Tamandua tetradactyla: one gene and its partners. The protein of the gene in region 4 purifies or fractionates together with the protein of the main gene of each other region. This does not show direct contact. Links are inferred from orthologs where the notes say so. Each region holds a gene or a part of one and is shown on either strand. Other genes may lie near its edges.

Evidence for each region.
Region 1: the proteins of CLK3 (region 4) and TNPO3 purify together in Homo sapiens (affinity purification with mass spectrometry; 4 studies listed by BioGRID and IntAct, counting the BioPlex papers as one, with this or other methods). This does not show direct contact. The link is inferred for Tamandua tetradactyla from reciprocal best matches to the Homo sapiens genes CLK3 and TNPO3.
Region 2: the proteins of CLK3 (region 4) and PSME3IP1 purify together in Homo sapiens (affinity purification with mass spectrometry; 3 studies listed by BioGRID and IntAct, counting the BioPlex papers as one, with this or other methods). This does not show direct contact. The link is inferred for Tamandua tetradactyla from reciprocal best matches to the Homo sapiens genes CLK3 and PSME3IP1.
Region 3: the proteins of CLK3 (region 4) and GPATCH8 purify together in Homo sapiens (affinity purification with mass spectrometry; 3 studies listed by BioGRID and IntAct, counting the BioPlex papers as one, with this or other methods). This does not show direct contact. The link is inferred for Tamandua tetradactyla from reciprocal best matches to the Homo sapiens genes CLK3 and GPATCH8.

Annotation. Positions count from the first base shown.
Region 1 is NC_135327.1:170,509,777-170,517,380, forward strand, and holds the start of TNPO3 (transportin-3), read right to left. Parts: upstream 3,004-7,604; 5' UTR 2,639-3,003; coding exon 2,519-2,638; intron 1-2,518. UniProt on the Homo sapiens protein: Importin, which transports target proteins into the nucleus. Specifically mediates the nuclear import of splicing factor serine/arginine (SR) proteins, such as RBM4, SFRS1 and SFRS2, by recognizing phosphorylated SR domains.
Region 2 is NC_135342.1:50,863,303-50,870,793, forward strand, and holds the start of PSME3IP1 (PSME3-interacting protein), read right to left. Parts: upstream 3,007-7,491; 5' UTR 2,951-3,006; coding exon 2,932-2,950; intron 2,774-2,931; exon of another isoform or gene 2,669-2,773; intron 2,188-2,668; coding exon 2,050-2,187; intron 1,468-2,049; coding exon 1,369-1,467; intron 973-1,368; coding exon 850-972; intron 1-849. UniProt on the Homo sapiens protein: Promotes the association of the proteasome activator complex subunit PSME3 with the 20S proteasome and regulates its activity.
Region 3 is NC_135332.1:22,913,058-22,919,911, reverse strand, and holds the start of GPATCH8 (G patch domain-containing protein 8), read right to left. Parts: upstream 3,014-6,854; 5' UTR 2,797-3,013; coding exon 2,752-2,796; intron 1-2,751.
Region 4 is NC_135338.1:67,430,620-67,438,167, forward strand, and holds the start of CLK3 (dual specificity protein kinase CLK3), read right to left. Parts: upstream 3,001-7,548; 5' UTR 2,658-3,000; intron 2,652-2,657; exon of another isoform or gene 2,614-2,651; intron 1-2,613. UniProt on the Homo sapiens protein: Dual specificity kinase acting on both serine/threonine and tyrosine-containing substrates. Phosphorylates serine- and arginine-rich (SR) proteins of the spliceosomal complex.

The DNA of each region.
Region 1 (7,604 bases), on a different chromosome or scaffold from region 4:
AGGAGCTGATTTTAAAGAGCTGAGCATTTTTTTTTTTTTTTTTTTTAAAGGAAAGACAGAGAGAAGGAAGGAAGGATAGAAGGAAGGAAGGAAGGAAGAAAGGGAAACATTTTTAAACATTTTCTTGTTTTATTGTATTCTGTTTCTCCGTTTTTGTTACATGGGCTGGGGCCGGGAATCGAACCGAGGTCCTTCGGCATAGCAGGCAAGCACTTTGCCCGCTGAGCCACCGCGGCCCACCCAGAGCTGAGCATTTTAAGTACCAGTTATGAGTTTTAAAAAAAGGGGAGGAGGAGGATTAAAAAAAAAATTCTTGGGAGCATAAAATGCAAACATAAGAAAAGTAGTTTGTCGGTTTGTATCAGCCGCTTCAGTTTCCAAGATACTTTGCAAACACAAACTCACAAAGAAATAAAGGACAGCAAAGTAGAGTGTAAAAATCAGGGAGAGGAATCATAAGATACCTGAAACAACTAATATAATAGGTTATAATTAGAGGTAATAAAGGACTTTTCTCAAATGCCTTAGTGGATGCTCACAATATTTCTATGGAATAATCAAGGAAGCTATTATACGCATTTTACCAATGAAGAACCTGAAAGTCAGAGAAGTGAAAAGGCCAGAAAACCACTATGCAGCAAAATGAGATTTTCTGAAACCAGAATTGATATTTTTTAACTTACACTGTATCACACCCCAAAACAAGGGGAAATTCATATGCATAAGAATCTGGAAACCTGAGAAGTTTCGAGAATAACAGACTCAAACTAATTTAGGCGAGGATTCAGAAGAGACAGTCCTTCCTGCTTCAGCCTGTGAGCCTCTCCTATGGAGTTCATCCAGACCCTTCAAGTGAGTTGTCAGCTTCACAGCCTGCTCTGCGGATTTTGGACTCTTCAATTCCCACGGTTGTCCAGCCAGCCTCTCCTGAGAGTTTGCTGAGAAACTTCATCAGAGCTACTAGCTTGTGGCCTGCCCTACAGACCTTGGACTCTACATCCCCATGACTGAAGTGGTAAGAGATCTCTTAGAGTGTAACCAGGTATGCTATTATCCAGCATGTCCTAAAGAAGGGGAAGAATGGTTGGCCTGAAAAAGAGACATGTAACCTGGAACACTGATGCCCTCCAAATGGAGTTCTAAGGAGGAGCTTTGATTACTACTGCCAAAGGTGAGCGCTTTATTGCACAAAGCAATTCAGCTATTGATATGCCCACATTACAAGAAAATGGCAGTAGAAGTCCCAGGAACCCTGAGCTATTCAATCAAGTGGTGACAAACATTTACCCAATATCAGTAAGTCAAGAAGACTACCATACTCTGCCCTCAGAGAATGGAAATGGAACTATCACTTATGGCAGCTGAATAATAATTTGGGCCACAACGCCGTGGAATGGACAATTGGGCTTGATGAGGCCTTTAAATCAAGAAGTGTGATGTGGAAAACCAAACCAAATGATAAAATCTTTAAAGACCTGTAACAAGTTATCAATGGATAATACATAGTACATAGCACAGCAAAATTGAGAAGGGAAAATGATTCTAGCCTACCTACTCATCTTTAAAGAGTACCATAAGATTGAATAGTTAATGCATGCATGTTTTTAATGCCTTCATCATTTTCAGGAAAATAATTATAAATACACATTATTAGAAAAAGGTCAAACCTCATTATTGTATGGAAGATACTGACAATAAAAATACTGACATCATATTCATTTCTATCCCAAATTTGCAGGGATATCCAGAGACTTCTTAGACATTTAATTTGTGTCAGATTCTAAATGGTGGAGTTTCTTGTTTCAAACATTTAGTTTCCCATAAGAACACTTTAACAGGTAACATTTGTGATTAGTAGCATATATCTTCTAAAATTTGTTTTATTATCAGATTAAAATTGGTGTTTTAAAGAGCTTATGTTCTTTCGGTTAAAATTAGTCCACACTAATGGTATTTTGGTTAAAAGAATTTCTTTTCCTTTGTGTTCAGGTGGTTTTTGGAAAATTTGCTTAATAGTTCAATATTAAAGTTGTATTTTACTAAAAAAAAAAGAGAGAGAATCGAGGAGAACAGTAAGGTGTGAGTAAGGTAACGATTGGGAAGGAACTGCCAGATGCAACACACGGGTAGGGAGAAGAGGCTGATAAAACATTCCTAAAGAAAAAGACGGAGATGGGATTGGGTTGAAGGAAGACAAAACGGGAAAGCAGGGCTTAAGAAACAGTAAGGTTAGAACTTAGAGAACCAGATCGATGTCACAAGCAAGAAGGATAGGACACACAAATCAGATTCTACGGGGTGAGAAAAGGGCCAGTTCGCGACCGACCGACCGACCGACCAGCTGCGATTAGCTTCCGAGAAGCAGCAATAAGTAGCTTCGCAGCCCCACCCCGCGGCAGCAGCTCCTCCCCAAAGAGGACCTCACCAGGCCAGTTGCCAGACAGCGGCTACCCCCTCGAGCCTAGAGCCCACTTCACCAATGCCCCGCGGCACAGAACGGCCTCTCTGGGCCCCTCACCGAACGCTGCAGCTCCCCAAGCCAAAAGGAGGCGCGCTCCTTTCCGCTGGGATCTGGGTCGTGGTAAAGCGCCTGCACTGCCTGATACACGAGCTGCAACGTCGGCTTTGTCCCTTCCATGGTGGAGGCAACAGTGGCGGCAGCGACGGCTGTGGCTTTTCTCCTGAGGCTTCTCCAGTAGCTCCGCCTTCGCGTTTCCTCACTGCCTCGGCCACGGCCGCTCCCTGACTGGCGCCATCTCCTCCTCTTTGGCCGTTACCAGGGCAGAGGGGTTCCCAATGGAAAGTGACCCCTCGGAAACAGCAGTGAGACCGTATTCAGGTTCCTGCCCTTTTTTCCCCGATTCTCCCACTAGGCTCCAAATTTCTGAGTCCGGACGCTGATGCCCCACTCCTCACCCGCTAGCTTTCCCTCAGAAATCTATCGCCGCCTGACAAAAACCTCGGAGTGTTCCTAAACCGCGTTTACCCGGACCGGAAGCGGCGACACCTATACCTTTGGCACACTTCCGCCTTGTGCACTGCGAACGGACTCCTTCCCGACACGCCTCCTCCGTGTCTCCCCGCCTCCTTCCGGAAGTGACCCTGCCGGTTCAAGAACGCAAGCAAGGGTTTGGTTTTAGTGTTCTTCGTTTTTTTTCTCCGATTCGAGGTTTGGGACCGATGTGCACCCCGTCCCTTAACCGCTCTCCTCTCCTTGGTGATGAATCCGAGCTCTTTCTCTTCCCTCATCAGGAAATCCTTCCTGGCCTGTTGCATAAGGCGCGTCAATTCAACCCTCCCCAGTGTCCATTGTACTGGAAACGGAAACATGGCTTAGTACAGATTCGTGCGTTGTCTCTATTTTTAATCAAATAATTTTTTTCAAATTTGAAATAGATGCCACATTGAAATAAATGCAAAATATCTAGAATCCCTGTTTCGCTCCCCTTTCCCACTTAAGTCTTTACACCCAAAGGGGCCTTTCATTTTACTACTCAGGACGCTATGAACTCCTGAGCACTTATTTGCATACATCTTTAGGATCATTTCCATAGTGAATTGTAGTTTTGTGCATACCTTTCCGAATCAGTGGTCTAAAAGGGGGGAAAGATAAGGTATCAGTGGCTAAGAGAGTTCAAATGAGTGAAGAGGCTATTCTGGAGGCTACTCTTAGGCAAGCTTCAGCTAGATATGGCTAATTGCTACAATTTGCCAAACCCCAGCCAACATCATTCCTGTTAACTCTGAAGAACGGCCAGGGCTCTATCTGAGCTCTTACAAAAGTTGATGCACTAAGTTTACTTTTCAGAAACCTAAAACCTTCAGATACTTCCTGTGCCAGTTAAGTCCTGAAACCCAGAGATGCCAGTCTCTCCAAGAACATCAACTAGTTCCATCCCCCATCCCATGTTGTCCACACCCTTTTCAACATGTAATGTTACAATGGGCATAATTCAAATATCCCTAAAGATTGGGAGAAGGATCAAAGGAGAAGGAGGAGTTATAACACGGAAGTTAGGGTTTAACAAATGGGTAGGGCTACTGAATCATTGTGTTGATATTTTGTTTTTGTTGTTGTTTTTTTTTTTTTTTTTGCATGGGCAGGCTTGGGAAATCAAAACCAGGGTCTTCAGCATGGCAGGCAAGAACTCTGCCTGCTGAGCCACCATGGCCCACCCTTAATATTTCTTTTTAGTCTCCAGTGTCTTGGAGCAGCTAGAAGGAAAGTCCTGAAATTGTGGAACTGTAACCCATACCAAACGTTGAAATCTGCTCTATAACTACTTGTTAAAATTTATTTTGAAATCTAATGCTTTTTAATATATATGTTATATTTCACAATAAAAATGTTTTAAAAATTCAGTGGTCTAACTTTCTTTGCAGAAATGGAAAAGCTAGACATCATATTCATAGGGAAAAATAAGCAGCCCAGAATCAACAGAACTATCTTGAAAGAAGAACAAGGTTGGAGGACTCACATTTCCTTATTTTAAAACTTATTACAAACAACTATTACTAAACAGCTTTGTACTAGCACAAGGACAGGCATATAGACCAATAGAATTTGAGGGTTCAGAAATAAACTCTCACACCTTTGGCCAACTACTCTTTAACAAAGATGTTATGCCCACTCACTGAACATTACATAATGTTTCTTCAACAAATAGTGCTGCGACAACTGGACAGCAATTTGCAAAAGAATGAAGATGGACCTCTAGTTCACACCATATACAAAATTCAATTAAAAATCAATCAAAAACCTAAATGTAAGAACTAAAACTGTAAAACTCCTAAAAAAAACACATAGGGAAACCTTCAAGACCTTGTATTCAGTGGTGACTTCTTAGGCTTTATACCAAAGGCATGAGCAAAACAGGAAAAAATAAATGGGACTTTTATCAAAATTAAAAACTTTTGTGCATCATAGGATACCATCAAGAAAATAAAAAGACAACCCTGAAAATACTTGCAAATCACACCTGATAAGAGTTTTGTATCTAAAATATATTTTTTAAAAAACTCTTACAACTCAATAAAAATAAGGCAAGTCATTTTTTAAAATGGTAAATGCTTAAATAGATACTTCTGTAAAAAAAGATACACAAATGGCTAGTGATACACGAAAAGATGTTCAACATTATTAGTCATTAGGAAATGCAAATTAATATTACCAGATACTACTTTACACCTACTAGTATGGATAAACTTAAAAGACAGAAAATAACAAGTGTTGTCAAAGATGTGGAGAAATTGGAGCTCTCATAGTTTGCTGATGGTATTGTAAAATGGTGCAGCCTCTTTGGAAAACAGTCTGCTAGTTCTGCAAACAATTAAAGTTACCATATGTCGAGGACTTCTGGAGAAGATGGCGACTTAGTAAGACGCGCAGGTCTTAGTTCCTCCTCCAGAACAGCTACTAGAGAAGTTGAAACGATTCAGAACAGCTCCCGGAGCCACAACACAGACCAAGAAGACAGCGTACCCCATTCTGGAATGGCTGACTGGGTGGAAGCACACGCTCCGGTGAGATCGCCGAGGGGCGCGGGCTTCCCCGGGCCGGGGCGGCAGGCAGCCGGGGTCCCTCCCTCCCTCCTTCCCGGGCTGGCTGGGAGAATTGGACAGGTGGTCCCCTCAAGCCGCGGCGGCTGGCACCACCCCCACGCGCGGCCCCTGGACCAGCTGGGAGAATTGGATCGGAGATCCCCAAGCCGCGGAGAACAGCGAACGGGGTCCCTTCCAAACACGTGGCTTCCCGGTCCGGCTGGGAATGGTAGATAGACACTTCCCCAAGCCGCAGCGGCTGGCGCCCCCCCGCCACACTTGGCGCCCCAGACCAGCTGGGAAATTTGGACAGGTGTTCCCCCAAACCGCGGAGGCCGGTGACCCTCCCCGCGTGCGGACCCCCGGGTCGGCTGGAGATTCGGATTGGCACTTCCCCAAGCCACTTCGGCTGGTGACCCCCCCCATATAGAGAGTTTTCCAAAGTTAAAGGAGCCACAGCATCTTTTACTGGTGGGACTCGCAGACAGATGAGCGCCACGAGTGCCACCTACTGGGCAGGATAAGAAACACAGAGCCTAGAGATTTCAAAGAAAAATCTTTCAACGTGCGGGGTCTTACACCCAAGGAAATCTGATTAAATGCCCAGACGCCAGCAGAAGATAACGAATCATGCTCAGAAAATTGAAAATATGGCCCAGTAAAGGAACAAACCAATAGTTCAAATGAGATACAGGAGCTGAGACAACTAATGCTGAATATATGAACAGAAATGGAAAACCACTTCAAAAACCAAATCGATAAATTGAGGGAGGACATGAAGAACACATGGGCTGAACAAAAAGAAGAAATAGAAAAACTGAAAAAACAAATCACAGAACTTATGGGAATGAAGGACAAAGTAGAAAAGCTGGAAAAAACAATAGATACCTACAATGGTAGATTTAAAGACACAGAAGCTAGAATTAGTGAATTGGAGGATGGAACATCTGAATTCCAAAAAGAAACAGAAACTATAGGGAAAAGAATGGAAAAACTTGAGCAGGGGATCAGGGAACTGAATGACAATATGAAGCGCACAAATATACGTGTTGTGGGTGTCCCAGAAGGAGAAGAGAAGGGAAAAGGAGGAGAAAAACTAATGGAAGAAATTATCACTGAAAATTTCCCAACTCTTATGAAAGACCTAAAATTACAGATCCAAGAAGTGCAGCACACCCCAAAGAGAATAGACCCAAATAGGCATTCTCCAAGACACTTACTAGTTAGAATGTCAGAGGTCAAAGAGAAAGAGAGGATCTTGAAAGCAGCAAGAGAAAAACAATCCATCACATACAAGGGAAACCCAATAAGACTATGTGTAGATTTCTCAGCAGAAACCATGGAAGCTAGAAGACAGTGGGATGATATATTTAAATTACTAAAAGAGAAAAACTGAAACCAAGACTCCTATATCCAGCAATATTGTCCTTCAAAAATGAGGGAGAAATTAAAACATTCTCAGACAAAAAGTCACTGAGAGAATTTGTGACCAAGAGACCAGTTCTGCAAGAAATACTAAAGGGAGCACTAGAGTCAGATACGAAAAGACAGAAGAGAGAGGTATGGAGAAGAGTGTAGAAAGAAGGAAAGTCAGATATGATATATATAATACAAAAGGCAAAATGGTAGAGGAAAATATTATCCAAACAGTAATAACACTAAATGTTAATGGAATTGAATTCCCCAATCAAAAGACATAGACTGACAGAATGGATTAAAAAACAGGATCCTTCCATATGCTGTCTACAGGAAACACATCTTAGACCCAAAGATAAACATAGGTTGAAAGTGAAAGGTTAGGAAAAGATATATCATGCAAATAACAACCAGAAAAGAGCAGGAGTAGCTATACTAATATCCAACAAATTAGACTTCAAATGTAAAACAGTTAAAAGAGACAAAGAAGGACACTATCTGCTAATAAAAGAAACAAATTAAACAAGAAGACATAACAATCATAAATATTTAGGCACCGAACCAGAATGCCCTAAAATATGTGAGGAATACACTGCAAACACTGAAAAGGGAAATAGACACATATACCATAATAGTTGGAGACTTCA
Region 2 (7,491 bases), on a different chromosome or scaffold from region 4:
AGGGGTTCAAAAAAATTAGTCTCAATTCCACCGTTTGTACACAAGGAAACTATGATTCATGAAGGTGATATAATTTTCCATCAACTCCTACTGTAATGTTGTACCAGAAAGCCACTAGCAGAACAGGGACTGGACGCCAGGTCATTCCCTACCAGTTCAGAATGGGTTTTGTGGCACCATGATGCCACCTTATTTCAATCACTGTCACCTTGATCTAAACCAAGTCCCTAGGAAATTTGTCCATGTTTTCTCCCACGTTACTCTTTAATGGAACCTATTATATCCTACCTGCAAGAAACTAACAATTAGCACATACACAGAATCCTCAGTTTTAAAGGTGAAACCTGTTCAATCATACTAGTGAGGCTATTTCACATATGTGAAAAATCCAAATAAGCTTCCTGACAAAGGAAAAAAATGGTAGGGTGTCTCTATTAACCTTTCCTTTCAGTCATTCATTCATTAATTTATTCAAACATTTATTGCCCCGTTCTATGCTGTACCTATGGGGTAGGTCTCATTAAGAACACAGGAGAGATACTAAACATTTCCTTTCAAAACTCCGAAACCAATTTTTCCCCTAGATGAGGTTTATTTCATCATTCATCTGTCTCAGGGTCTAAGTCCACAAGGTAAGAATACCCTGGCGCTGACTATCAGGATTTATGCCTTCAGTTAATCTTAAACGATATGGACTTCTTATTGCATGCAACATATCCCCCACAAATTGCAGCCATTTATTCAGAGACACAGGAGTATCAGTGTTGAAAGGGGCCTTAGAAATCACCAAGCAGACTCATTCCATGTATCTGTGACACTTCACAAATTTCTCTCAAAGTACAAAGGATATTCTGTATTCTTTCAGTTCTTTTAGTTCTTCTTCTCTTCGTTGCTTTTCTATTAGTTCCTGCTGCCGAGAAACCTCATCAAGGAAGTTGGTTTCATCTTCATCTAAGCCTCTTACCATGTTTTCTGAGGAAATAATTAAGCAAGGAACATTTAGAAGTCTAAAGGAAAAATATAGCCAAATAAGATTTTCCTTTTTTTAGTAATAAACAGAAGATCCATCAGGGAATTAGAAGAAAGAACTGGTAAACACCATGGCTTTTGGATAGATAAGATGGCATAAAACCAAGTCATTCTCATGATTATAAGATATTAGCATAGAATTAAAATGGGTATCTTGAGCTCTAAAAAAAAATATTTCAATGTGGTATAGAAGGCAGAAAGCTGTCTCCTTTCTATAGAATGAGCATCTGAAGACTAGACAAGACAATTCCATGGCTAGTTAGAAAAAGTATTGCATGAGGCAAAAGTGCATCAGAGGGGCCCTGCAGAGTCCTTTGGACTCTATTTTCTGAGGCTTACTGAATTTGAACTGCTCCTCATATTCCTGCTGCTTCCTGTCTTTCTGTTCCTGCAGTCTTTCATATAGAGATCGAGGGTCATAAACCTCTTCTGGACATTCTGAAAGGAAGAAGAGGGGAGAGAAAGAGAGAAGGAAAAAAAAAATACATACTTTAGAATTTCTGCATTATTTTGGGACCATGGGATTTTAAAGATAAAGTCCAGTCTTCTCTACAGAATTGGAAGATAAGGATAACACAAAAATAGCACAAAGTCTATAGCTTCCCTTTGGACCTCAGAGAAGGGCCAGGGTTCTCAAAGCCAACTATCAATGTTGATAGGGCCCACTGCCTGGAACCGTTAACTGGATGAGGGCCAGATAAAAGCCTCCACAGCAACAGCATTCTCCGTTGTTCAGACCCTGGATCCGACACACTGACAGTCCACACAGGTATCCACAATGTACACATGCATAGATGGATAACCAGCAGAATCCCCTGGAAGGCAGTACAGCAGAGTGGGAAGGACAAAGACATGAGTATTCTGGTTCCACTCTCAGCTGTGGAGGCCATCCACTGGTTTCTTCACCCCTCTGACCCTCAGTTCCTCATCTCTAAAGTGAGGACATCAATACTTACTTTCCACGTCTGTAGTGAGGTTTAAAGATCATTATATTGAATGCCAAACCATAAGCTTATATACCTTCTGGATCCTCAGGTTTTCGAACTTTCTCCCATTCTTCTTGCCTCCTTTTGCGCCGTTCATCTAGTTCTGCCTCCGTCACAAATCTCTTTTTGATAACAAGGTTACCATCATCCCCTCCATCCATAATGGGACAGTCTACAAACAAGAAAAAAATTTCAAGTGAGAACTGTAATTAAGATTCTAAAGAGGAGAGCTCTGGGAAGATGGTAGAATAGGACAGGTCGGGTTCACCCTGCTCCAAGGAACAGTTAGAGAAGGAACGAGAAAGTAACTGAAACTTTCAACCTAGCAACCTAGCAATCCCAGGGTGTAAGTGACCTAGGAGGGTCTTCTACACCACAAAGGGAGGCCCTGACTGCAAAAACTGAAGAACTGAGAAGCAGAGAACCAGAGAATGTCTGGTTGGTGCAAACAGCCTAATGCGAAAGTCCTCAGGAGTGCACAGACAGGGAGACAGGGACCAGGAAGGAAGCCAAGCTGTGTTCCTTGAACCTGTTACCCTCACCGGTGCAGTATGCGATCTGCAACTCACTCCACACCCCGTGTACCTGAACCCTATCATCTGCCCACCACTCGCATGCTCCAAGCATCCCTGCTCTGCCCCAGCCCAACCCACCTCCCCAGCACAAGTACAGTCTCTCCTGGCACTTTCCAAGAAACCACCTCTTCCTCCCTGGCCAATGCAGGCTGGTGCCAGCTCATAAAGGCTGTGGGCACTCACCTTCACACTCAGGCTACACCTGACCCTAGCCTATACAGTCACGCAACCCCACCCTGCCCCCCTGAGCTCTGTGCATGTGTACATCAATTTACAGCCGTCCCAGATCCACGCATATGCACGGCCACCAGTCACACCCCCAGCTTTAGGCAAGCGCTGACCTGCACAGCTGGGCCACATCCACTCCTAGTCCAAAAAGGCGCAACCCCAGTCCACTGCCCCTGAGCCCTGCGCATGTGCACACAAAGGCCCCACACCATGTAACAATACACACCAGGGCACCACTTCCCAGACCTATGCACAAACACAGCCATATCCTCGCTGCTTCTGGGAACCCACACATTCATACATTGACTTTTTGACCCCTGCACCCCAACCCCCTGCCCCACAAATGTGCACACTTGCGCCACTCTCCAGGCACAAGCGCCCTGCACCCACACCTGGCAGATGCTCACAGGCAAATCTGTGCTACATAGCCACCACAGATTGCACATGCGTATACATCTGCTCGAACCCTTCTACACCTGCATACCTGCGCCAGGGTACCACCCAACCAGTGCCACCACCACCACGTCCCACAACCCTGGTCCCACATCCACATCCAGGGTCCACTGGACCACTTCCTCTGCACAAGAACACACCCGCACCCTACTTCCCATGGTGCCCTGACCTCTGTGCCACCTACCATACCCTATACCCTGATATCCACGATCCCCACATGCCCACGCACCCACCATATCCTACCTACACACTAGCCCCCATACATCCATACACCCTCCCCATCCACCTCCCACTGCACTCTACTTATGTGTCCCCCATGCTGCACCCTGCTCCTGTGCTCCGAAGTCTGCCTGAGCTGCACCTGATACCATCAGCTCCTGCATTGCACCTCCACAACCCCATGACCCACACCCCATGCTCACAGGCACCAGTGTAGTATCCCTGCTCTGTGCCTATACCTGAGCTGCAACACATCACCGCACTGTTGTGCCCCACCCCAAGCCCCACATCCTGCTCCACATCCATCCCACAACACAAAGTTTTAGACTACTAAAGGAAATCAACTTACAAAGTAAACCTATCAAGATATTTACATGTCTCAAAGACAACAGAAAACCACTAAGCATATCATAATTTAAGCAGACATAACCCAGCCTAATGACTTAATTAAAACACCAGAAGAGACACAGACTTTGGAACAACTAATCAAAACATATTCAAGCAGCTCTACTAAACAAAATAAATAGGATGGCTAATGATACAAAGAGACTGAGAAGACACCAAAAGAGCTTAAAGAGGAATTTGAAAAAATAAATAGAAAAATAGCAGATCTCACAGAGATTAAAGATGCTGCAGACCAAATAAAAAATATACTAGAGGACAGGCAACGGTGGCTCAGTGGCAGAGTTCTCGCGTGCCATGCCAGAGACCTGGGTTCATTTCCTGGTGCCTGCCTATGTAAAAAAAAATTTTGTTTAATTTTTAAAATTTAAAAAAAAAGAAAATATATACTAGAGACACACAAAAGCAGATCCGAAGAGGCGGAAGAAAGAATAAGCAAACTAGAGGACAGGACAACAAATTTTGAACACTCAAAACAGCAAATGGCAAAAAAGATGGAAAATTTTTAATTGGATCTCAGAGAAATGATGGACACACAAATATAAGAATCACTGGTATCCCAGAAGAAGAAGACAAGACTAAAGGGCTAGAAAGATTAGTTGAGGATATAATGGGGGAAATTTCTTAACCCTTATAAAGGACATAAATAGGCAAGTCAAAGAAGCTCAATGAACTCCAAATACAATAAATCCAAATAGGCCTTCCCCAAGACACATACTAATCAGTCTGTCAAATGTTGAAGAGAAGTAGAAAATCCTGAAAGGGGCAAGAGAAAAACAATCTACTACATACAAGGGAAACCACATAAGACTGAGTTTAGACTCAACTGGCACTATGGAGGCAAGAAAGCAGTGGTATGATATATTTAACATACTGAAAGGGAAAGACTTCCAGCCAAGTATTCTATAACGAGCCAAATTGTCCTTCAAAACTGAGGGAGAGATTAAAATTTTCGGACAAACAAATTCTGAAAGAACCTGTCAACAAGAGACTGGCCCTACAAGAAATACTAAAGGGAGTTCTGCCAGTTGAAAAAAGACAAGAGAGGCGGGTCTGAATAACAGTTGCCACATTCAAATTTCATATGTTATAACACCCTGTGATTTGGGCTCAAGTTCCACTTGTACAGCTGCCTGCCTTCACGTATAAATGGGAATAGGGCATAGCGTTTAAGTCCCCAGTGCAGGAGAAAACGATCAGTTTATATCTGAAGAGACAAACTTGCTGTCATAGTGCCTCCTGAGAACCAAAACTCCTATATCATTTTAGCAGCCAAACCGCTCTGCTCAATATTCAAAGAACATGTTGAACAGTCACTGATAGCAAATGAGGTAAATGCAAATAAGAAAAGAAGAATCATCAGTAAAAAGCACCTCAAATCCTATCTCTGCAAAGAAAGGCAAAAAAAAAAAAACCCTGCTTTCTGAATATACCTGGACCACATGTCATTCTTAGTATATGGGTGTAAATTAATTGTATTTAAGTGGAAGATGAGCTTAAAAAATATGGACTAATGACTTAGTAATAAATTGGTCATAACCCTACTAGAGTGGTACAATATCACTTACAAGTTCCTTTCCACTTTTTATTTAGTGTATTGTGTGCTTCTGCTATGCTAATGCATCCCACTAATACTCAGCCTGGCACCTAACAGGTACTCAGTAAATGCTGATATGTGAATGAATATTTTAATTGACTTTTATTTATGAATCTTAAAAAAATCCATGTAAAAAATTAAGTTCTTTCAGGAAAGGGAGATTACATTCATTTTGGCATGTATAAAAGAGAATACTATAAAAAGTAAATGTTTGAAGAATGGAATATGGGTCTTTTTAAGGGTAGATTTAAAAACTTGAAAATTGGGCAGGCCACGGTGGCTCAGCAGGCAGAGTTCTCGTCTGCCATGCCAGTGACCCAGGTTTGTTTCCCGATGCCTGCCCATGCAAAAAAAACTTGAAAATGACATATCACTCCACTAGTTTAGAAAGATAAGCCAAAGATATTTTGGTGCTACTCACTCCTGGCAATCAGAAACAATTTTCTACTGAATTATATTATAGGTGCAAGTATGTAATACTTTGCAAAAATTTGGGAAAATAAAAGGGACTCCTCCATTAATGACAAAAACAAAAAACAAAAAACAGAGAGGGAGGTCTGGAGGAAGGAACAGAATTGAAGAGTACCAGTAAGGGTAACTCAAAGAATAAAAAGAGAAAGAAGTAAACAATCGAAACAAAGGGAATCCAGAATAAGGATGAAGGCCTTTAATCCCTGTATAGCTTAATGAAATGCTTGGATACATCCTAGAATATATTAAGTAGATAATCAAAAAATATTGACAAAGTCCCTTGAGGAATGGGAGAAAAAATATGGAACCATTAAACTTTACCACCAGGGAAACCCCTGATACTGTGTCAAACAATGGGGACACCCAAATCAATAGGCCAAGCCTTTGACCTTGAGGCTTACTTTTATGAAGTTTATGGATATAGCGGAGAAGCTTAGCCTACCTATAGGTATGCCTAAGAGTTATTTCTGGAGAACCTCTTTTGTTGCTCAGACGTGCCCCTCACTCACTCTAAGCCCAACCCTGTAAATGAAATCACTGCCCTCTCCCCTACATTGGACATGACATCCAGGGGTCAAAGTCTCCCTGGCAGCATAGGAGATGACTCCCAGGGATGAGTCCAGTCCTGGCGCCGTGGGATCAATTATTCCATTCTGACCAAAATGGGGAAAAGAAGTGTAAGAAATAAGGCATCAATGGCTGAGAGAGTTCAAATAGAGTTACGAGGCTACTCAGGACGTCACTATTACCGCAAGCTTCAGTTAGACATTGCTACCTATTATAACTTGCCAAACCCCAACCAAACACATTCCTGCCAAAAAAAAAAAGAACACCTAGGGCAATCTATAAGATTCTACAAAGATTCCATGCACAAGGGTAACTTTCCAGAAGCCTACAACCTCCAGATGGGTCCCTGGACTAGATAAGTCCTGAAACCTAGAGTGGCCAGCCTCACCAGAACATCAACGAGTTCAATCTTCCAACCCCATGTTATTGACAAACCCCTTCCTACATGAAAAAGGGAGAATGGGCATAGCCCAAAAACCCTTAAAGAACGGGATAGAAAAATCAAAGTTGATGGTGGACTTATACAGAGAAGGTAGGGTTTAATAAACGAGTATGATTGCTGAATCATTATATTGATATTTCTTTTAGTCTCCAGTATCTTAGACCAGCTAAAAGTAAAAAATCCAAAATTGTGGAATAGTAACCCATACCAAACTCTGAAATCTGTTCTACAACTAATTGTGATACCACGCTTTGAAATATATTGCTATTTTTTAAATTAAAAAAAAAAATCTAAAGACAAACTAGGAGATGCAGTTTTGTTTCACCCAGCAACAGGCTGCCTCCAACCCTGAATGGAAGAAATCCTCAAACAGTTTAATTTATACATTGTTAATGAGAGCACATCATTATATACATATTTTTTTCACATGGGCAGGCACCAGGAATCGAACCCGGGTCTCCGGCATGGTAGGTGAGAACTCTGCCTGCTGAGCCATGGTTGCCTGCCCATATCATTCATTAT
Region 3 (6,854 bases), on a different chromosome or scaffold from region 4:
AAGTACAGCTACATAAAATATATAATTGTCAACAGAGATAATACAGCAATTGTCAACAGAGAGTCTTTAGCTTATACCATGCTAGAGTATAACCAGATTGTGCCGTTTAACAGCTGTGTGTACTTGGCCAAGTTACTTAACTCTCTGAGTTACTCCATCTAAAAATGGGAGTAATAACAACACCTTTCTCCTAGGGGTATTGAAAAGATTATGAGATAATACACATAAAGCCTGTAGAACAGTGCCTGTTTATTATTATAATTATCAAAAAAATTTTTACGTATGTCCATAACAATTACTCCATTAATAAATGCTTCAAGCAGCATACAGGATTCTAGCTATATTATACAAAAATACCTCTGAAATCAACTTTAGGTGTTATTTCACAAAATCTAATCAATGAGCCCACCTCTCTGGCACATGAGACAATACTCAAAACCTCTAGCATTTGCACGTGATAGTAAATGGGCAAAGAATGAAACCCTAAAATTCTAAATTATCTTCCCAAAGTAAGAGTCATTTAGAACTTACCAGAGAAGACGGTATAGGGAAATTTCCAGTGCTGTAAGATCTGTTTAAAACAACAAGATCTAACCACTGTTTGGAAACGAACTTTGGATTTGTTTCCGAGTCTATTATCACAAACAAAATAGCCACAATAGTCAGTAGCTTCACCTTGTTTACCACTTAAAAACTTAAAAGAAAGTCACATTTAATTTTGAATAACCTGAACTTGAAAATGTTTCAAATACACTATATGCAGATATGTCCTATTACATCACATTCTCCTCTCCAAGAACTGTAAATAAAGGCACATCATTTGTGAAAGTCAATCTATATTCCTCAGGAAAAAAAAACACCACTTTAAGTATTTTTAAATGAATGTTTTTATAAGTGTTAGCACAATAACTTATAAAAGTTTTAATATCTCATAACTGTCTAAATGATTTCCATTCCCAATACCCAATTTATCCATAATGGCAGGACGTCTGAATAAAAAACATTTTTCCAACTGATCAACATGACATAAACCCAACTAAAGCATCAGCACCAGAGGATCATCTTACCAAGAAATTGGGTATTGTAAAGCTAGAAGCTAATCTTTCCCATTTCCCAGGAGATAGCATTCATATTTTGCTATTCAGTTTTCAAAAGCTTCTCTCAAGGCCCTGCTAATCCTGTGTGTATGTATGTTTTGTTCTGTTTTGAAGCCTGCTGGAATCCTGTGGTTGACAGCCATTTTTCCTCAAAATTTAATTGCCCACATTACCTATTTTCAATTTTATTAGGTCACCTTGAAATTCTCTCCTCTAATAAGCACTTGGGTTATCAATCTGTCTCTTTAAAAATTACCAATAAAGTCCACACCTTGCAGTCTAATGCTTTACCGTACTTGCTAAAAATAACCTTTTTCAGGCATCAGAACTGCTTCAAACTAAGCTGGACCTGCATTATACCCTTTAAACACCTGGAGACCCTGTATTTTCTGCAGCTATTCAACAGGCACATGATCATAAAGCTTTTCAACAGCCCCCAGATCCCTTATTGCCGCTAAACTTCACATCTATGTACTAGACAGTTAACAGTATATTAGTTTAAAACTGCTAGACTGCTTTACCTGTCTATGTACTAATGCAATCATCTCAGGAAATTCAAATCCCTCAAACTGCCTTTTGAAACACGTGTAGCATATTCCCATGTTGCTTTGAGGAAGATCTGCAGTGGAATTAAAAACTTGAGTTCTGATGTTCATCCCCTGACCCAAATTGTTGTTGCCAGGATATGCAGCAGTAATGCAGTTGTTTCTTTGAGACCCTGAGGACATATTTTATCCCAGAAGTACCCAATTTCTCTAAATCTCTTTTAGTCTCCCAGATTTCCACGGTAACGATGCTCTGTAACAGCAAGGTATTTTAAACAGCCAAAGGATGAATTATTCTAGTTTGGCTAGAATTTTTTCCTCAACAATTTTTGCAAGGACGTTTCTCCATACCAATATCCGCAACTGAAGAAAGAAAAATCAAGCTTTTGGTACTAGTTATTAAAAGCTTGGAAAGCCCACTATCATAATGCTTATTACAAATCTTTTTTCAAGGTAGGATTTTCACTTGATCGAGTTTACATGGGCTGTAGTCCTATAACTTACTGTTTTTCAAACCCAATTAACAGCCTAATAACAACAGCAACATTTATGCCCGGGGAAATCTCAATGCTTGACTAAGAACGCTTTGATAACCAAGACACTCTTTTCGGGTGCGGAATGGAAAAATAAGGCTATAAAATGGATTTATTTATTACAGTGAGAGAGGAGCGGAGAAGCACCCCCAAGAAGATCCGTGTGAGCAAAATCCAAGGGTTTGGGAGCCCAGGCCTCAGTAGCACTCGCCGCAAACCTTCTCAACCCTCTTTTCCCCTACGAGTCAGCCCTGCGACCCCACAGACTTGGCAAACTGGAGAGAAACACAGCCCTTCACCCAGCTCGCAAGGCTGGAGTTCCAAAACTCGAAGCCCAAAAAGGCCCAAGCCGCAGAGCTGGCGGCCTGAGTTTTAAGAGGTAAGAGAATGCACGGAGATGAGATGCGGCCTCGCCTCAAGCTGGGAGGCCCCTTGAGGAATCGGAGGCGGGAGGAGAACGAGTCGGTTCAGAGGCCGGAGCAGAGCCTGGAAAGAAAGAGATCTGGGAGCCGGGGATGAAGGAGGTTCCGGGCTCGGCCGCGTCTTCCCCGGCTCCTCGGCGGCGCCCGTGTTTACCTGAAAGTCTCGGTCTTCGTTGAAGCGGGAGAAGCGGTCCGCCATTTTGCCGCCTTCACTCCTCTCAGGACGACACTCTCCGGTTCGCTCCTTTCCTCACGGCAACACCGCCCCCTCCGCTCTCCTCCCCAGTTCCCCGCCTCCTCCTACGCCCACCGGGCGCGCGCAAGCAAGGGAGAGGGGAGGGAACGAGAACGCGCGTCCTGACGGGAGACCCGCCGGCGCAGGCGCCTTCAAGCTGCGCAGGCGCCTTCAAGCTCCGCAGGCGGTACCCTCCCTCAAGTCCCTGCTGCGTGCACGACCCAGAGCGAGCTCGGCGGATGCGCGTGCGTACTCGCGCTCGAGGCTACTAAAGCTTCCGGAGGGAAAGGTCAGAGGTGCGGATGGGCTTGGCTGTTTTCCACCTGCCTGTCTGTCCGGTGTGAAATCTTCTTTTAGCCATCTGTGTATGCGAGGTCCACCCTCTACTTTATTGTCAGCAGCATGAAGTAGTGGATGCAAGCGCAGGCTTTAGAGCTAGACTTCAGTTTCGAATCCCAGTTCTCTCTGAGGGCTAAAACGGTGACAGTCTGTAAAGATCCCTTCTCTTTTAGGGCTTACATTCCAATGGGTGTAGTCAGATAACTAATAAAATCATTATATAATTTTAAATTTAATTTAATGAGTTGTTAAAAAAATGAAACTGAGTGCAGTGATGAGAGGGACAAACCTCTGAAACGACCTTTGTCCTGAGGGTCAGAAAGGAGCCCGCCTTGTAAGGTCTTGGGCAGAAGGAATATTTGACCCAAAAGTCCTATGACGGGAAAAAGCTTGGCATTTTCGAGCAACCCTTTGAGATAAGTATTATTTCTTAAAGGACTGAAGTTGATCCAAATCAATTAAAGTTCTCTGGGCCTCAGTATTAAGAAAAATGAATTTAATAATCTCTAGGCTTCTGCTCAGCACCGACTTTGTGTGATTAAATCAGATTTTCCCATCCTATGACCTTCCTGGTGACTCCACCTGGCCCTCCAACACCCTTAGCCAAAATACACAAAACACAGGTTTGGCAGGACATCGCTGCTTTTGAAAAAGGGTGGCTGACAGAAATCACACAATGGAAAAAATGGCCCTTACCCTTCCCTGAAAAAGTCAAATGGAATGTAAATGTTTGGAGGAAGAGTGTGTATCTTCTATTCCTTTGTTACCCTCTGCCCTACCCCAACTCCAGCCCAAACAATTATAAACAGTCAAAAGAGCTCCCCATCTAATGGGAGATAGAACACACAGAACGCTGTAAAGAAACTTGAGGATAAACGTCACAGATTGAATTATATAGACACACCACACATTTGCCTCCATTACCTCTCTAAACCCCACTAAAATGATATTTGAATAAAAGAATGAGAAGGGCATGAGTTCATATGTATAGAGATCAGAAGGGATAACAGCAGATGAGATGTCAACCAAGTTTTGGAAGCTAGAGAACATAGGAAATGGAAATGGCTCTAGTAAAGAAAGCTAAAAATAGAGGAAACCAAGAAACAAGCTGATTGACACTGAGAAGTACCAGAAAACCTTCACGTACCTCAGAAGGTGAGGGTATGGATGAGGCTGAAAACAAGAGGATTGGTTGCAAGGCATTTTACAGAGCAGTTAAAACCTATATCTCCTTCTCCCCCCAGGAGCAAACTGGAAGTTTACTCTCTAGAAGGGCTGAAACAGAGACTCTGGACTTTGACATGTCTGGCACAGCTGAGGGAGGGAGTGCCGTGCTTAAAAAATGGAAGGAGTAGGTGAAAGCCTACATTTTGATTAGAGAGACCTGGCACTTGGGTTTCTAATCCTGGCAAAAGACCAGAGGATCCCTCTATGGGGAAATTGACTGGCATAGGGGAAAAAAATGTACAAGTACTAGCAATGGTGAGGGAGGGATGCCTCCTATAAAAAAGAACATGTTCTTACCCATTTATCCCACAGAGAAGCTAATCAGTCAGCAAATCCCACTCACAGTTTCCACCCAGTTCTTTAATGCCTCCTTCCTATGATTACCAGGTATTTGAGGGAAACTTGTACCAGGAATGACACACACACACACACATACACACTAAAAGAAAAAAAAAAAGCAATTCAGAGAAACCAGAGATAATGAAAGGAGTAGAAGAAAAATACATCAAAAGAATCGTGATGATATCCACAGAGACATAAGATCACATCAGGGAGCAAAAGAAAAAGAAAATCCATTAATGAAGAAAGAATATTTGGAAATTAAAAATTCTTAAGTAGAAATGAAAAATGCAATACAAGGGTTAGAAAATAAATTAAGGAACTCTCCCAGGAAACAGAATAAAAGAACCCTAGTTCCAGCCACCTTTGCTTTCTCCTGAATTATTGCAGTAGCTACTAAATGTTCTCACTGATTCCATCCCTGCTCCCTATACTCTGCACAGCAGCTGTGGTGATCCTGTTAAAAAAAAAAAGTCAGTCGATTCATAAAAAGTCAGTCTCCTACTCCAACCCTCCAGTGATTTTCCATGTCATTCACATTATAAAGTCCACCTACCACTACCAATTTACCTCTTAGACTTCACGGTCTATTATGTCCCCCTGCTCCCCTCTTCCCTGGACACACTGACCTCCTGACTATATCTTAAACACACCAGGTCTGCTTCTGCCTTTGCCTGCCCCACCTTCGGCTTATGTGTATCCTCGTCTTCCTACTTGGATCATTCTTTCTCAGATAAGCACATGGCTGCTGCCCTCATCTTTCAGTCTTTATTCAAATGTTATTTTCTCAGTATGCTCTTTCCTGATCACCCTATTTAAAATTACTGAGCCACGTGTTCTGAATTCCCTAAACTCTTTCCCTGTTCTATTTTTCTCCACAGCACTTATCCCTTTCTAATATACTTTATAATTTACTTACTTATTCTGCTTATTATCTGTATTCCTTGACTAGAGGTCAGAGATTTCTCTCGGTTTTGCTTCCTTCTATGTCCTCAGTATCTACAACAATGATTGGCATATAGTATGCACTGCATAAAGATTTGAGTGGGTGAGATGGAAATAGGAGAGAACAGATAACAAAGTTGGAGGATAGATCCCACATCTGAACAGTAGGATTTCCAGAAAGAACAGGGGGGAAAAAGAGGATAATAAAGAAATAATGTGAACATTTCTTAGTGCTGAAGGACCTGAGTTTCCAAACTCAGATGGCCCAGCACAATGTATGAAAAATAACTCACTGCCAGGCACATTATTGTGAAATTTCATGAGATGTTTCACATGGGGCAAAGAGAAATTCTTAAAGAGTGGGGAAAAAAATAGGTTGCATATGAAAGATAAGGAAATGTAATGGTGTTGAATATCTCCAAAACACCAGAGACAAGTAATGCCCTGAAAATTCTAAGAGGGTGGTTCCCAACCTAGGTATCTACACCCAGGCAAACCGTAATCAACTGTGAGGGAGAAATATGAGTTGTTTTTTTTTCACCTGTATGCTCTAAAAAAGAAAAAAAATACTTGCCATGCACCATTTCTGTGGAAGTTACTGGAGGATGTTTTATGGCTAATGCAGAGAGTAAAACAAGAAAGACTTAAGATCCAGAAAGCAGGTAGACAACCTAAGAAAGAAACAAAGGGAATGCCCACAGTGTCATTTCAGAATAACAGCAATGGAGCAGGCCTAACAAACACCCAGTCCAGATGAGGACATAGGAGGACAGAGGGCCCTAGAAAGACTGTCAGCAAAACAAACAAACAAAAAATATGATAGCATACCTAGTGGGACTGAAAGTGAGGAGATTTACACTTCTCAAGAGTGGTGAAAATTCATGATAGGAATATAGAAAACTAGGCACATGGTGGGGAAAGGCAATTGATAAATTCAAGAGAGAAAAATTGCCAGGAAACAGTGTAATCATAGTAATCATACTATGTGACGTGGCTCGATTGTGAGTAAAATTTATAGTCACAACAATATAAACACTGAATATTCCTCCAACAAAAAATTTTTTATAGAAGCATATTGGGGGAATGTGGGAGGAGAAGTATATGTTTGGAGGAGAGGGGGGCACTTTAAGACAACTAAACCTTCCATGATAGGAACTAAGTAGATAATGTCT
Region 4 (7,548 bases):
TTTGCCTCCACCATTCCATTACTGCCCCCTTATCTAGCGCCCTTGCTTTAGGATCCACTCCTGGGCCACCTCAGGAGTATCCAAGCGGCTGATTGTCTGGCAGGCTTGTCTGTATAGGGAGGCAGGCCAAAAGGGCTCCACCCCACTATCTCTATTCAGCAGCGACTTATATCCACCACTGGGAACACCAGGCTGAATCAGTCACCAGCCGAGAAAGGTAGTTATGTGATGTGAGCTCTCTGTCCCACCCACACCCAAAATCCTGACTTTGCCTCCATGGGAAGGCCAAGCCAGAGACAGAGGCCAGCCTCCTTTCCAACCCTTCACTTGGCCAGAGCTACCCTCCAGGCATGCTCAGTCCTGTGCTCACCTTTGAGCATTACTTTAGGCCAAAACCACTGAGTTTGCCCCATTTCAACAAAAGGATCTGTCAGGAGGAAAACAGCATGGAACAGCAGCAAGGCAGATCTGACAAACCCCCTGGAGCTTCTCTGTGATCCTAAGACAACCGCTGCCCCTCTCTACCTGGAGTCCATGAGGTGATACTGGCCCAGCTTCATTAATCTTCGGAGATAAAATACTATGTGAATTCACTGGCACCTCCCCAAGAGCTTAGATTCCTGTCCTGTTTTGATGATCAGCTGACTAATATTTCACTCTTTTCCTGCAATTACCTGGAGGCAGTTGCCCAGGCTATGGAATGAAAACATTTCACATCTCACTAACTGACAGGAAGATATGCCAGGCCCTCCCACAAGGCAAGTGTGACCCTGCTTATCCTCACTGGGCAGGCAAAGCACCAGAAGACTTGGTCCAGTCCATACCAGGCCAAAAATTCCCTCCTGGCACCTAGAAAATACATATATACACACATGTTTACATTAGTGGAAAGAGCATACTCAGGTGTCGGTTTGAATCCTGGTACTGCCACTTCTGGCTGTGTGCCTTTGGGCAAGTTATTTAACTGCTCTAACCTTCAGCTTCCCCTTGCAAAATGGGGATGATAATCTCTCAAAAGCTTTTGTAAGGATTGAATGCAGCTCTCTTATAAGTCAAGGGCCTAGCACAGGTCTGGGACCACAAAAGGCACTGCAGGCAACTTACTATTGGCAGAATGCAGAAAGTTCTAGGTTAACACTTTGGGTTGTGTTTAAATGCCTTAGGAACATTAAAACATTCTGTGAGTCCCTTCTAAGGGACTTGGGGAGAGAAAGCTCTAGGCAGAAACCCTTGAACTAAATCCCAGAGCTGTCACTTACTGGCCTCATGACCGTATATAAGTAACTTTAAGCCTTAGTTACCATACCTGGAAAATGGAGATAACAACATCTACCAGCCAACTTGGCAAATAAAAGGACAGTATGAGAGGTATAATGTACCATACACCAAGGCAATGATAGGGGCAATCATCTCTCCTTTAACACATTCTAGGCAGGTAAGATATTGGAAATAGCCAACTCCCCCTCCTCATCCTCCCAGTAAGGGCACTAGGACCCATTCTTTATCCACTGTCTCTGATTCTCTTGAGACCCCAACAGGTTGCTTATGGCTAAGGGGTACAATTAGGCTTTAGGAGGCTCTGCTCTGCACGGTGAAAACGGGATTGCTAAAGAAAACCAGGTAGAGGATGCCAGTTCTCTGAACAAAGGCCTACTAGTCGCCTTCTCATTTGCAGCTACTGGCCAGAGAACTGGGCTGACAGGAAGAGCAGCCAGCCAGGTCAGCGGCTCTCCTCCCGGATCCCAGCCACCCCAACGCCCCATGGTTATTTTTGGCTGGCTCTGCCCTACCACTGCAACCTCAAACCTGCCACCTCGCAAGCTGCCGCCACCACCGGGCGAAACGCTCCTCCTTTTCAAGGGCACGGAGGAGGAAAGCTGGAAGGCCGCCAATTCCGCCTCGACAGGGGCCTCTCTCAGGCAATACCCACCCCAGGTCCACACTGGGGGACCCGCACCCGGAACTAAAGCACAGAAGACTCCTCGGCCGAGCAGCACCCCGGGCATTTGTACGGTCGGCTTGGCCTGGCCCCTCCCCAAGGGCTGGAGCGGATCCACCACCACAACAAAACACGGAGAGGCGCCTGCAGCCCTCGCTCGCATTTGTTCCTGCCGCCCCAGGTCCCAAGGATCTCATAGCCCCATCCCCTGTAACCGCCGGCAATGGCGCCGAGGGAGGACCGCAGGGGTAGCAGGGAAGGCTGGCCTGGGCCACAATCAAACTCCAGGCCGCAAGAGGAGGGGTCTGTGAATCGGAGAACAGGAAAGGGTGGGTCTGAAGGCCCCTCCAGCTATCCTAGGTCGGACTCCGATCCCATTCCGCAGGCAGGCACAGGGCCGAAACTGGATCCCTGCAGAAGCTGGGAGAGGGGACCTCAGAGGCCGCTCTGGCTCTGGCTCCGACTCCGACCCCTCGGGCTCTCGAGAGGTCGAGGTCCGCAGTGACCGACCTCCCCCCGGGGTGGGGGAGGCGGCGGGTCAGGGGTGAGAGGTCGGGGCTGCGGCCTGAGGAAGGCGGAGGAGAAAGAAAAGGAGTAGGCCGAGACCCAACAGGGAGACCGGGGACCCGCACCCAGGGCTCGCCCTGCCCAATTCATCCCCCCGCCCTACTCACTGCCCCTGCAGCCGCCGCCGCGGCGGCCCGGGGCCCACACTCACCGTCTCCCAGGCTCCCGCTGCGGCTAGGCCCCACTCCCCGCTCTGAGCGCCTCTTCCGCTTCCGGCTCCGGCCTCCGCCCGTGGTCGCCCCGCCCTTCTTGTGACGCAGCCGCCGCCAGCCGCGACTCTACCCGGCTCGGTGACTCGGCCGCTCTAGCCCTTGACTCGAAGGCTCTGGGGGACCCGCCTCCCCCTCCCGGGTCCTGACTGCAGCGCTGCAGAGACTAGTTCCGGGAGAGCCGGGGGTGCGTCTCCGGTCGCGGCCCCCCCCCCGCCTCATACCGTGTCGCGATGCACGTAAATTCTCAGGCCCTCCAGGTGTGCTGTCTCCGCAGAGGGAGCTCCGCCTGCTCTCGCGCACCGATTCGCGCGTGTCCGCCGACCCCTTCCCTGTGCGAACAGTGAAAACTGGGCGAGCTGAGCGGCGGTCGGCGTGGCTTGGCCCCGGGGCAAAGGAGGGCGCGAAAGATGGAGGCCTAAGCGCAGAGGCTAAGGAATGCGATGGCGACTCCGGGTGAGGGAAAAGAAGCAAAGGGAGAATCATTCTCTGGGTGGGAGCCTTAAACAATGTCGGCATGCCGAAGTTCGTACCTGCACGCAGACCAATTTCCCGGGAAAATACTCGAGGGCCACGTGGTGGGCCTCTTGGAGGGGCCGGGGTCTGGGATGGAAAGGGGTGTTCTTTTTCTTTTTAGCACCTTCTGAGCGTCTCACTACCGGCCAACATTGTTTCTCTGTTTATAAACCTGGCCATTTCTCCGACATCCCCCTTTTGCGGGGCCGCGAGTGTGAGATCACCATAACGCTTCCCAATAACCGTCCATCGCTTTGTGCGTGGCGGGATTATGAAGCCCTCTTTTCCAGATGAGAAAAGCGAGGTCGGGGTCCTTCGGGAGACCTCACGGTTTGTGAGCGTGCGCGCCGGGTCTGGGCAGGCTGTGGCGTCTCCGCCTCCGGGCTCTCGCTGGCGTCCAGCAGCCCAGCTGAAGGGAGTGGTTCTTAATTGCCCCGACGCCACGCGGGGGCTAGAACCCCCCTGCCCCGCCCGGCCTGAGCGGGCGAGGCGGGCTATCCCTCCAAGCTTCGGCACCCCCACTGCCTCGGGGTAGCAAGGGTTTCCCCATCCTTGCAGTGCTGGCCTCGCCCCTTCAAGAGGACTGGTCAAGTTCCTGGCGTGGGGGCGCGGTTTCCTGGCCCGACAGGCGCGGTGAGAAGAGATCCTCCCTCTCCGTAACTGCGGTCTTAAAAGTTTTTCCCCTTTTGCTCCTCTTAAATTGGGGTCTGACAGCATGGCTAGAGGAAGTGCTTAATACACCGCAGATCTGTTGGCAGCACCCCCCGCACCCCAAATAAACCCAGGAAACTCAGTAAAAATGGGATGCTTGTGACGCAAAGGCAGCTTCAAGACCGGCCCCTGGGTCCCCTTCCAATCAGATGCTCCCCCCGCCCCGCCCGTCCGCATTCCTTTGTCCCAGGATAGATGTTTGGCTGCTGATTCGTGTGCGTGCAGTGAATGACCCGGAGCCCTGCGGTCGCGTCCCAGGTCCTGCTGCTTTGGGTCCTGCTTAGGGGCCGGGATTTTGAAATTCCCGCGTGCCCCGAGATGCCTTTCCCAGCCGCCGGGTCCTTGTAGTGGCCACACCAGCCAGCTTTCATCCCCTCAGGCGAGGTGGGAGGGCTCTGTGGCGTCTCCTCCCACCAGCTAATGTTGCCCGTGGTTTCCATGGCTCCTGGGAGCTAGGCCGCAGTCTATCCAGCAGCTGAGAATGGTGGAGATTCCTGTCCACAGCCTTGCCTTGGGCGCCAGGCTTGGAGGGGTAAGTCGGCCTCCCACCATAGAGAACTCTGTCTCCCAGTAACTAAGCAGCTCTCCCTCTCCCAATTCTGCAGCCAGAGTATCAGATAGGTACCTGGAAAAAGATTTACTCTGAGGTGCAATATGGGTAACACCCCCACCCCATCCTGACAGACCGAAGTCATTTCTCCAGTGCTCATTGACTGCCTGGCACCTGACAAGAGACCCTGGCAACTCACAGCTAGGAGCTCAGGGGGTGGCCCACCCTCAGAGGAGGCTTGCTTCATATCCACCTGCCCCTCAGACCCAATCTCTTTTCTGTGTGGGTCTGGGTTGGCAGGAGGACTCAAGGATGCTCAGGAGATACCCTTGCCCTGTTCCTCTCCCTCAGCCAACCTGGCCCTATAGTTCCTCTCTAGGGCCCAGCCCTGCCCCTCTTGGTCTCCTCCTTCCCCTATCCAAGCCCCAGCTGCTCTGAGCCCCTCTCGTGCTGCTCGTCCTCTCTCCTCTGCTGCAACCATCTTTGCCTTCTCTGGGAGTAGTTAATTCACCCTCAGGCCACAACCCTAGGGTCACTGCCCCTGAAAGCCTTGCTGGGAACCCCAAGGGAGAGTCAAGCGGCTCTTTCCTCTGCCCCCATAGCTTTGTGCTTCTGCCTTGGTCCCTCAGTGGCTGTGCTGTCCCTTTGGGCTGGTCTCCAAACTCAACAGACTGACCTATGCATGTCCGTCTCCCCAGCAGATGGAGAGCCCCTCTAGAACCCAGCCAAGTGGAGGGCAGGTTCTCAGTGAGGGCTGGGGCCAGTCCTCATGGTCCATTGTGGAGAAGCCTGTGTGGTGGTGAGAAGTAGAGACAACTCAGGAGGGGGCTGTGGGAATGCGGGCATGGAGTTGGGACTAGATGGGAGAGGGTCTGGGGGCTGCTGGTGCCATCCTGGGAATGAGAGGAGTGGGCTGGGCAGGGGGGAGCTCAGCTCAGTGTTCCCCTCCCCTCAAGTGAAGATGGCTTTCCAGGACCCTGCCACACGCTCACTTTTCCCTGGGTACCTGGTACCTGGGGGAAAGGAACAAGGGAGGGGACCATGGTAGGACTCAAACCCAAAAGAAGGAGTGGGTGGGGTGAGAAGGAGTGGGTGGAGCAAGACTAGCTTAGCAACCCCTGTCTGTACCATGAGTTCCCACCTCAAGCTACTGGAACATGGGGTCAGGGCCCCCATCGGAAGCTGTGGAAGCTACAGAGGTAACCAGAGCAGGGGGCTTGATTTGGGGGCCTATGACCACCACATCATGGCTAAACTATGCTGGCTGCAAATGTTTCCCTGACCCCTGCCATTTCAAGACCCCACACCTGGAAGGGGAGCATTGAGGGGCAGCAGGGATGGGGGAAGTGTGGGCTTTGGTTCCAGACAGGCTAGGATAGGAATCCCAGCTCTGCAGTGAAATTCTTGCAACTGACACCCCGCTTCTGAGCTTCTGTCCCATGTCCTCAGAGTCTTTACCTGCAAGGTTTAAATGACATCATGTTTATTCAGCAAGTGGCCTCACCTGCTGGCAGCACCCGCATCTCACGGAAAATTAAAGAACCATTTAGTGGGGTTGAGGCAGGGGAGTTTCTGAAGCCTGACTCACCAGAGAGAATCCTGGGCTGGGGGGCGTGGAGGTGGAGGGTCTGAGTGCCTGTTCGCCCTCAGGGGCGATAGCCCTGGGCTGCCCGGCTCCAGTGTCTCTGGCCTGCCCTGCTCTGCGAACCCACCAAGGTAGAACCCATGGAGCTGGTGCCCAGTCCCACCTGTTGTCCCTGGCACTCCTGTCACCTCCAGTCACTGGATGGTGTCCATCCACTGAGCCCCACTGAGGCATGCGGGTGAGTAGAAGGAAGGTGGGCGCAGCAGCCCCCTGGGGCTCTGGCTGCAGCCTGAATGCCCTCTTCCTGGCAGGTGCCCCAGCAGGGCCCCCAAGAGGATCTGGAGGTGGTTAGAGAAGGACCTGCGGGTGTGGCTGGCGGAGAGCAGGTGGCAGCAGGCTGAGCTGGGTGGCCATCTGTGGGTGGCCTTGGAGGCCCTGGCGGAGCAGGCACAGGTGCTGCAGAGGTGGGCGCACACGCTGGGCCTGGGTTGGGCCGTTGTGGGCTGCTGGCTCAAGAGCAGAAAGTGAGGCTCCCCTTCCCCGAACCTTCCTGGCTTGGCTGGGGCCTCGGGGAGCCCTCTCTGGGCTGATAGGTTTGTTTTTTTGTTTTTTTGTTTTTTGATGTTTCTTTTTTATTGTGAAATATAGCATATGTACAGAAAGGCAATAAGTTTCCAAGTACATTTTAACAAGAAGTTATAGAGCAGATTTTTTTTCCATTTTTAAAAATTTATTTAAAAAAATTAAACCAAATAAAACATTAACATATATAATCAGTAATTCACAATATCGTCACTTATTTGCATATTCATCCTTTCTTAGAACATTTGCATTAATTCAGAAAAAATAAAGAGACAATAGAAAAAGAAATAAAACAAAAACAGAAAAGGAAAAAAAAATTATACCTACCATACCCTTATCCCTTGCTTTCATTGATCACTAGCATTTCAAACTAAATTTATTTTAGCATTTGTTCCCCCTATTATTTATTTTTATTCCATATGTTCTGCTCATCTGTTGACAAGGTAGATAAAAGGAGCATCAGACACAAGGTTTTCACAATCACGCAGTCACATTGTGAAAGCTATATCATTACTCAATTATCATCAAGAAACATGGCTACTGGAACACAGCTCTACATTTTCAGGCAGTTCCCTCCAGCCTCTCCGTTACATCTTGAATAACAAGGTGATATCTACTTAATGCATAAGAATAACCTCCAGGATAACCTCTTGACTCTGTTCGAAATCTCTCAGCCATTAACACTTTGTCTCATTTCACTCTTCCCCCTTTTGGTCAAGAAGGTTTTCTCAATCCCTTGATGCTAAATCTCAACTCATTCTAGTGTTTTTCTGAATCCCTTGATGCTGAGTCTCAGCTCATTCTAGGATTTCTGTCCCACGTTGCCAGGAAGGTCCACACCCCTGGGAGTCATGTCCCACATAGACAGGGGGAAGGTAGTGAGTTGCTT